2 linked regions of the Yarrowia lipolytica genome follow. The main gene of each other region encodes a partner of the protein of the gene in region 2 in a complex. Links are inferred from orthologs where the notes say so. Each region holds a gene or a part of one and is shown on either strand. Other genes may lie near its edges.

Region 1 (4,682 bases), on a different chromosome or scaffold from region 2:
TTCGGGACAGCTCCGCGTGGTGTTCTACCTGGGTGTCAACGTTGAAGGTGGCCACATGTTGCAGTTCATTGAGTAGAGGGTCGAAATACTCCTTCAGAGCCGGCTGAATGTCCCAGGATACAGGAACGCCTCCGCCGTGGAACAGCGAGAACGTGATGTAGTACTGGGGCGAGTAGATGACGGCAAGATCGTCCTTGGACTTGTTTCGACCCACGAGCCGCAGAAAGTCCTGAATCTCGGGTTTGTAGACAGACAGGATAGATGCCACGGTGGCCTTGACGAGATCGTTCTTGGGTGACGTGATCTTGATATCCTGGCCCTGGGTGTCGACTGTGTAGGTGGGCGTGTCTGCTTCGGCAATGTGGATCTGGACGCCTTCGGTGGACGGAATGATACCCCAGCCGTAGATGTTCTGGGACGCCAGTTGCTGGGCCAACTCGGCCTCAATATCCTTGGCCGTATCAGAATCAATGCCCGAGAAGACCACAGGCACCTTGATGTGCAGCTCCGACGTGACGGTGCTGTCGTAGTAGGCCATCTCATCGTGGGGGAGAGGACTTCGCTCGACTGAGGTGGTGTAGAGCCATAAAGGCATGCCGAGAAGCACAAAGGTGAGAATGTACGCCACCAGAATGTTGGCGCGACGCTCCACGTGCTCCTTGGGTTCCTTGGGGATGAGAACCATGATTGTGTACTTGGTAGTGACACGCTGATGATGGTGTACGTGTATGCGTATGCACTTGACGATGTGAGTTTATTATCGTACCGTGCTGGAGCTGGGGCTAAGTAGAGTTTGAAGTAGAAGGCTAAGTAATATTAGTTGGACGGTGTCGTTGGAGCTTCGATATCTCCAAACATTGCGTGAGCAATGTGTATTTATCATTTGTATTTGTTGGTAAAAGTGGATTTCTGTATATAATGGGATTTGTTCCTAGTCGTTATCTTTTCTGGGGCACAAATAAAGGACCCCCAGCTGACTTGTTAGTCAACAAAATCTAACAAAATAGGCCTTAACTACACTGCACTTTTGCTCTTGTGGATTGGAAAGTATAGTTGCAAAGTAACTGTCAAGTAAAAGTAGTTAACTTGAAATTTCGAAATGAATATATCTCGAAATGTTGTATGACAAACATGTATTGTCTTCGCACATTAGTTGGATACCGAGTGCGCTCTATCTGCTGATGTACTCGTTTCTACACCAGCATGTCTGGAAACGGTATTTTACACCCCCAGTGCACTTTGCTTTCCAACTAATCTCTACTACTGAACCTAACTAAAACTGCCCTACAAGCTGGCAGACACAAGACAACACAAGACAACAAAAGTTGTTATCCAATCTATCATATATACAAATTACGCATCAATGGTAATGGCGGGAGAGTGGAAGGACCGCAGAGTGGTTCGGGCCAGAGACGAGGGCTTGGCGGTGTCTCGGGTCTTTGCAATCTGTTCTCGGACTGCTCGAGACGCCGCAGCAATGTTTTCCACAATCTCTGTGTCGGTAAAGGAAGCGTCTCCGACCTTGATGGAGAGACAGCCGGCAGACTCTCGGAAGGGCATGACTCCGGAGGTGGAGGCGATGATCTCGGCGACATCGTTGCCCACAGTGCCCTTTTTGGCGGAGGGCATCATTCCCTTAGGACCCAGCACTCGGCCGAGTCGGCCCATTTTGCCAATGATTTCGGGTGTGGCATAGCACTTGTTGAAGTCGAGGGGCTGTTTGCCCGACAGCAGGTCATCAATGAGCTCTTGTCCGCCCACCAGAGAAGCTCCGGCCTCCTTAGCAGCCTGGGCCTGGGCCTCGTTGGAGGTGATGACACAGATGGTGTCGCTGCCGATGGCCTTGGGCAGTCGCACGGTGCCCGTGATGCCGTTGGTTCCCTTCTTGGCCACAATAGACCACGACACCACTATCGATGTGGAGGACGAGGGCCAGCCCACCTCCATGGCCCGAATGTACCGCAGAGCCAGGGGGAAGTCCATGAGCAGCGGGTGCGACAGACGGTCTCGGGCCTTTCGCATCTGCTGGGCAAACTTGGCCCGCTCCTTTCGCTGGGTGATCTCTCGCAGTCGTTCCTTTTCTCGTCGGATCACCAGCTCCTTGTAACTGGGCTGGTTGACGGCTCCGGAGGTGTCCTTCTTCTTCTTGCCGAGCGCCACAGCCGAGGTCGACAGCGGCCGCACGCTCTGGGCAACGCCACCGGCCGTCAGCTTGGCCGCGTGTGTGAGTCTGAGCATTTTTTGGTGGTGGTTGGATGTAGTGTGATGTGATGTGGTGAAAAATTAAGCTGTGAAATTTCATCTCGACTTTGGGAGTTTCTCTACAGTTTACAGGAGCGACCAGTGGAGTCAATTTGTGGGGTGTTGGTGGGGTTGAAGCGGCTAGATTGAGTGAGGAAAAGCTGGCTTAAGACGTGGGATTTTCATCTTTTGCTCCACTCCTTCCGGTTTCTCCAGTCTCAGCTCACCCACTTCCTTTTTGCCCAAAAGGATCACTTTTGGATCCCCTACATACACCTTATGAGTGGATGGATGAAAGCGGTGAAAAAAGATGATCTGATACATAAAAGATGATCTGATACTTTGAGGAAGAGGCGACTGGTTTCGGAGGGTACATTTGAAGTTATTCCACCCGTTTGTTTCGTTTCTTTTGCCCCAATCCCGTGGCACATTCTTCTTAGCAGACATTCATTGGTCATCGTACGAGTACAAGGCCAACTTGCCTGATGGATTCATTCTTGGTCAAGAATCCATCGTACTATATTACAAGTACTTGTACGACTACAACTGATACCATAGCTACTGCCATCTTCATTGTCTCATACCAATAATCCTCTTTGCTATATACATTAGTTGTGGTGTCCTTCTAGTGGGTCAGGAACCACCGACCCTTGAGAGTCCGTCGCTTGATAATCTTTCGGCCGGTTCGAGATCGCGATCGGGCCAGAAAGCCAAGAGATCGCTTTCGCTTTCGGACCGAGGGCTGGTAGTCGATACCTCGCACGTATCGTCGCTGGGAGGCGCCGGAAAAGGGCGTGAGGAAGGGCAGAGTGGCGGTAGAGCCCTGGGCGAGCGCGGAGGCGACCCCTGAGGCCGCGGGAATGCACGACGGCACGGAGTTGGGCTGGATCATGGTGGCGGATCGCTGTTTGATAGCGGTCAGAGGGTTCACGTTGCCTCCGAGCGTGGCCATGTTTCGGGCCATGAGGGGTGCGGGTCGGACCACCTTGGTTGCAGCGGCTCTGGTGATGATTCTGAGCATGGCTGGGTTGGGGGCTTGTTGATATGGTACAGTACCGACGGGTTACTTGTCTGGAGTGTTGTGCCGTTCTCTGCTATTAATATATTTGTAGGCACTTTTTCACATATTGTCCCGACTCCCACATTATACCCTAACCCGAATTTCCCCATTCAGCTGCAAGCTCAATTTTATTTGCCTTCACTGCGCACTTGTGGATCACGCTGTTGCAAAAAAAAAAATCCCGTTGGCTTGATCCCGACGTACTAACCGCGCCGCCCCCACCACAACCACCAGCATGTCGTCCTACAAAGCGCCCGGCCCCACGGCCATAGAAGTGCATTCGTCCAAGGCGATCCCCAACGGCGAGGCCGAGGAGATCATCACACAGTACATCGATGCCACCACCGAGAGCACAGACCAGCTGCTGTCCATGTCCAGCGACAGCATGCCGTCGGTCGTGTCGCGAAACCACGCCATGATCCAGCAGCTGCGACGGGTCCAGCGAGACCTGCGGGGCTTGCCTCCGTTGGAGGCTGAAGAGAAGGAGGTGGAGAACAAGGACAAGGGGGATTCCAACACAACCACCGACGGAGGAGATAACGATAACCAGGAGGAGTCTGAGGATTCCGACGACTCTGAAGAGTCTGAGGAGACCAATGAGGACCAGGACCAAGACCAGGAAGAGGCTTAAGAGATGCTGTCGTCCGCCGCTTTGGCTCTACCACACCTTTACTGTCTACTCACCCTCTCCCCCCACCCACCCCCCTGTGTCGACACAGGGTAGCATTATTAATGTACATTAACTATAGAATCAACATGTTTACTTAGAGAGGTGTGTAGTGTAGCTGGAGAGTGGGTCGTTACGGGTTTGGCATATCGGATCTGGTGTAGGGCATTCCCAGGCTGTCGGATCAACTGGCCAGATGTCAATCCCGTTGATATTTTGATAGCTACAGTTTCGGTAGGGGAGTGTATTATGTTGCCCCTGTTCACATAGAATAAATGGGGCGAATTTGCAATCTCAAACGTCCTGGGGATCAGCCCTTTCTCCCCACTTCTTCCCGTCTCCATCCTTGTCTATCGCCCATCATGCAGATCTAACTTCTATCTAAAAAATCTCCTTTCACATTTCACCAACTCGTTTCACACTCGACAACCCATTCCCTACAGCATGGTGGTCGAATCGGTGCCCAGCAAAGAGCGGTTCACCGCGACCAGGCCGCAGGATAACGAGCAGCAGCACGTGCACGAGGTGTACAACCAGATTGCGTCGCACTTCTCCAACACGCGATACAAGCCGTGGCCCATTGTGGAAAAGTTTCTGCGGGACCAAAAGGACCACTCGGTGGGCGTGGACATTGGCTGTGGCAACGGCAAGTACATGGGCGTCAATAACAAGGTGTTTATTGTGGGCTCCGACCGTTCGGACGAGCTGGTGAAG
Region 2 (4,579 bases):
GTTTAGACAGGCAATGTTCTTCTCCGCAGCCTCCATTGCCGGTGCCTTTTCTGGTCTGCTGGCTTTCGGTATTGGAAAAATGAAGGGCGTGGCTGGACTTCACGGATGGCAATGGATCTTTATTCTCGAGGGAATTGCTACGGTTGTGGTCGCCTTCATCGCCTTCTTCTTCGTCCATGACTTCCCTGAAACAGCTCGATTCCTCACCGAAGAAGAGCGGGAGTTTGTCGTGTGGAGACTCAAGTATGATGGCAACGACAATAGTGCCGGGGGTGAACTGGTAGCGCAGAACGACTCTCGTGACTGGAAGTACGTCTGGGCCGCCTTCACCGATATCCAGGTCTACGTCCACCTGCTTCTCTACTTCGGAGTTGTGGTTCCTCTCTACGGCATCTCCCTCTTCCTTCCCACCATTGTCAACAACCTGGGATACACCTCCTCCACAGCTCAGCTCATGACTATCCCTATCTACGTGATTGCTGCTATAGCTTCGGTGACTCAAGCTTGGTTCTCGGACAGATATGGTAAGAGATCTCCCTTCATTCTCGTCAACCTGCTATTCATGCTGTTTGGCTACTTGTTGGCCTTCAACCTGTCTCACAAAAAACCAACTGCAGTCTACGTGGGCTGCTACTTCATCGCACTAGGACTGTACCCAGCTCTGCCCGCTATTGTCTCGTGGATGTCCAACAACGTCGCAGGTACATACAAACGAGCTGTAGCTATGGCCATCCAGATTGGCATTGGAAACCTCTCTGGGGCCATTGCGTCCAACATTTACCGAGCCGAAGACAAGCCCGAGTTCAAGCTGGGTCACGGTATGGAGATCATGTTTGTTTGCATTGGAATCGTGTCTCTCATTGTGCTCAACTTTGGCTACCACGTTGTCAACAAGAGGAAGCAGGCCAAGATTGAGTCGGGCGAATGTGAGCATCTTACCAGTGCCGAGCTGTCTGAAATGGGCGACAGGTCTCCCTATTTCCGATACAGACACTAGTTATTTATATATCGAATTAATTCATTTCTTGCAAGACAACCAGCAACCAGCCAGCAGCATATCACTAGCGTACAAAACAATCGTCGAGCACGTACTTACACATCTGTACCGGTACAGTATGTACTCGTACCGTATCCCACACAACAACCACCACCTCGACTACCACGCCGCCATCAAACAGCAAAATGCTTATACTATATACACTAATTAGTCCAGGGCTTGAAGGAGCCGAAGAGATCCCGGGTGGGATACTTGGCGGCCAGCCACTTGAGCACGTCGTACTCAACAACCACATTTCGGGCCTTGAGAATGTCTCGCACCTCAATGAACTCCTTGGGCACAATGTCGGCCTTGAGGTTGTCCTTTCCGAGCACAGAGTCCAGAATGGGTCGCTCGGTGTCAACCAGGAAAACGGTCATCTCCTTCTTACCAAAGCCAAGCTCGCCCTGCAGCCACTGTTGTCCAAAGGTTGTGTTGTCCTTGACGGACTCTGGCAGCTCACAGGGGCCGTCAACTACAAAAAGTCGACCCTCCTGGTACTGTGACGTAAGGGCAGCTCGGATGGCCGAGGCGTACACCTGCTTGGGCAGTCCGGTGGCCATCTTGTTGGGGGCATTTCTGTCGAGCGCGAAACCTCCCTGTGTTCGTGTGGGTGAACCAGCATCACCGACTCGGGCCTTACCCATTCCCTTCTGCTTGTGAAGCTTTCGGGTAGAGTAGCCCATCTGCTCTCGACCAGGGGGATTGGAGGCTCCTACTCGCTGTCGATCAGCCTCGTAGACCACGGCTCTCCACAGCAGATCCTTGTGGACCTGAGCACCCAGCATTTGCGAGGTGACAGGCTGTAGACGTGTGGGCTCAAGAGAGGGAAACTGTCGCACCGAGGTGAGAACGAACTCGGGCAACTTTGCTGCGCCGGGCAGTGTGTCGACGGTGGCCTGCTTGGCAGCTCCGGAGGCCTCGGAGGCAAAGCCCCGTCGTAGCCCGGAGGTCAGTCCTGGAATTAGTCGCCGGATCATGTTGTGTTTCGTCTCGGGTTATGGTGCTGCAGATTTTTGAATTTTCACCAGGTGCACATTTTACCCTGGAGTCACGTGAGCAGAGCGGGAGGAGCAGTGGTGCTGGGATAAATAAATATAGTGATTTATAACCATCAAAGCAGCGCGAGTAAAAAAATGGATTAGGAGATTTATTTCGAGCGACTAGAACTTTCGGCATCCATATCTTACTCTTTTATCTTGTACCCCTTCATACGGGTACCGTCCTGTTGTTATAGTACGTACAGTTCTAAGTATTTATATACAAAGGCCGACCAAAGAACAAAGTACAACCTGAACTATAGTTTTTAAAGATTTCACCCGATAAAATACAACTCATGCCTACTGTAGTATCAATATAGTACACAGTCATACACATGCTACGGTACACCAGGTCACCTAAAAGGTATAGCACATGCAATGATATATTACTCGTTCTGTGGATTAGAGAACCCACCATTTTTCCAATGTTCGCCTCAATCGTAATGTCGTCGTTGTTTTTGTGTCTTCCCCTCGATGTGCACCCTGAATATTCGATTATGCGGACCTAGACCTTGCTACCAGGTTTGCTAGTATTAGTTATTGGTCGATTGCGGGGACGAAAAAGAAAAAAATGCGAATAGCCAGAATCACCTCTCCCACTACGCGTTGTTCAACACGCACCAACTGTCACTCACCCGCTGGTAATCCGCACAATCCACTCTGCTAAGCGCGTCACCATGTAGTTTGTGCAAACGTGGCCCACGCCCTCCTGGCACACGTACTCGGGGCTACCGCCATTCTTTTTGAAATGCTCGATCCACTCATGCGAGTATGAGTCCTTGACCAACGCATCGTCCTCACCGGTGGCAATGAAGACATGTGTGTCTGTAGACATGTCAAATACCCGTGCGTCGTCACGGGCAATGATGTCCTTTAATGGCTCGGGAATCAGGTATTGGCACTGAGGGTTGGTGTTTTTGAGGGAGCCTGTCTTTTGCCGGTGCTGGTCCAGCCGGTCCTCGAATAGCGTGCGCATGCTGGGCGATCCGATTATTGGTGCAATGGCAAAAATGTCCTGGTCCTTGTTGCGGGCCACAGATCGCCAGGCAATGTGGCCTCCCAGTGACACTCCAGACACAATGTTGTACCATTTGGGTGCCACGTTGCGGAGCTGTGCGTCCAGCACTGCTGGCAGGTACTGCATGACCAGCAGCAGGTCGTCTGTGGAGCCGTCGATGATGGACATCATATCCACGGCATGGGTGTCGTTTCCTGCCTCCCAATCAAGAGACCGTTGGGCCGTGAGAGTTCGCGAGCCGTGGTTTCGCAGATCGAACGTCACGGCAATGTAGTTTGTCCAGGGCGTGTACGAGTGCCGTCGCGAGGTGTGTGAATCGGTTCTTGTCACATGCGGTCGGGATGCCTTGAGAGCCTCGATCCCGGTGTTGGTGGCAGGCAGGTCTCGCTGGTCGGCCTCGGGCGACCGGTCCACAGCTGCCTCGCGACACCGAGAGAGCAGTTCGTGGGCCAGATATTCGGTGTACATGTAGTTCTGCAGCCTGGGATGGGCCAGGTAAAGCACTCCGACGGCCTTGCACCGTTTGGGCAGCTCTTCGAGGCCGTAGACCATGGTGCGGATGCCACCCACGTCGACCACCTTTTTGGACGAGACGTGGGTGTGGGGCTGCAAATGAAACGCTTCGTCCATTATTCCATATCGTGTGGGGCGAAGGAAGAGAGTGTGAGTGTAATATGGGGGGAGGGAGAAGGGGTGTCCGAATTTAGGTGTAAATGTGAAACTGTGTGGGTTTCGGGGTCGGGGCTTCAGGGTTTCGAGCTCGATAAGACTATGGGACTGTGGTTGGCGCAAGAGCCACAGATAACAGCCATTTCTATGCTCGCCTAGAGGCCGGAGCTAGCTCCACACAGCCGTCCACGCTATCAGGACCTGTCGTTTTGGCGTCCACTTGGATCACAGTCCATTCCCAACCGGGCAACCCAGGGTTCGGGCTCCCCTTAAAGGGTCCCCTTCGGTGCATGTCCTGCACATGGTCTTAGCAGTTGAGCTGTAGCAAGTCAAATGGATGTGATGAGAAAAAGTAATCTGGTGTTGCTGTCGGGCACACTGTGCATTAGCCAATAACTATACGGCTTCTTCTTCAAGTGAGGGGTCCCACAAGACTCAGCTATCCACCGAAGCTCGATTGGACATTCCACAACTGTTGTTTAAAAGCACGCCGTCTACTTGTACCGACCCATCAGCACATCTCCTGATGCGTGGACATATGCCGGTCGGGGGCTTCATTGTGCTGTACGTTCAGTAATCTCCTCCCTCCACTGGTCTAACTCGCGGCACCGCTTGCATCCATCACGCCTCATCACCTTTGCTGCACGCAAAGCACATTGTTCAGGGGCAGAGTTCGACTAACAAGCCGTGCCGAGAACCAGAAAAGCGGGCTGTGTGAGACACGCTTGTGTGAAGGAGCAGATGAGATAATATCGATATCCAGCCCTATCCAGCCCCCTCCATATGCTGACTCGAGCTCGTCTTATTATTTCAGCG

Evidence for each region. The genes of interacting proteins can lie anywhere in the genome.
Region 1: YALI1_E24343g (region 2) and YALI1_D15952g share a complex: the UniProt entries of both Saccharomyces cerevisiae proteins name them as parts of the mitochondrial large ribosomal subunit. The link is inferred for Yarrowia lipolytica from reciprocal best matches to the Saccharomyces cerevisiae genes YML6 and MRPL1.

The regions. Positions count from the first base shown.
Region 1 is NC_090773.1:1,593,056-1,597,737, forward strand, and holds YALI1_D15952g (mitochondrial 54S ribosomal protein uL1m), read right to left. Parts: upstream 2,239-4,682; coding exon 1,354-2,238; downstream 1-1,353. Other genes in the region: YALI1_D15937g (uncharacterized protein), read right to left, coding at 1-685; YALI1_D15963g (mitochondrial 54S ribosomal protein bL34m), read right to left, coding at 2,867-3,262; YALI1_D15965g (uncharacterized protein), read left to right, coding at 3,537-3,932; YALI1_D15974g (uncharacterized protein), read left to right, coding at 4,413-4,682. UniProt on the Saccharomyces cerevisiae protein: Component of the mitochondrial ribosome (mitoribosome), a dedicated translation machinery responsible for the synthesis of mitochondrial genome-encoded proteins, including at least some of the essential transmembrane subunits of the mitochondrial respiratory chain.
Region 2 is NC_090774.1:2,432,286-2,436,864, forward strand, and holds YALI1_E24343g (mitochondrial 54S ribosomal protein uL4m), read right to left. Parts: upstream 2,017-4,579; coding exon 1,201-2,016; downstream 1-1,200. Other genes in the region: YALI1_E24318g (uncharacterized protein), read left to right, coding at 1-997; YALI1_E24360g (uncharacterized protein), read right to left, coding at 2,708-3,724. UniProt on the Saccharomyces cerevisiae protein: Component of the mitochondrial ribosome (mitoribosome), a dedicated translation machinery responsible for the synthesis of mitochondrial genome-encoded proteins, including at least some of the essential transmembrane subunits of the mitochondrial respiratory chain.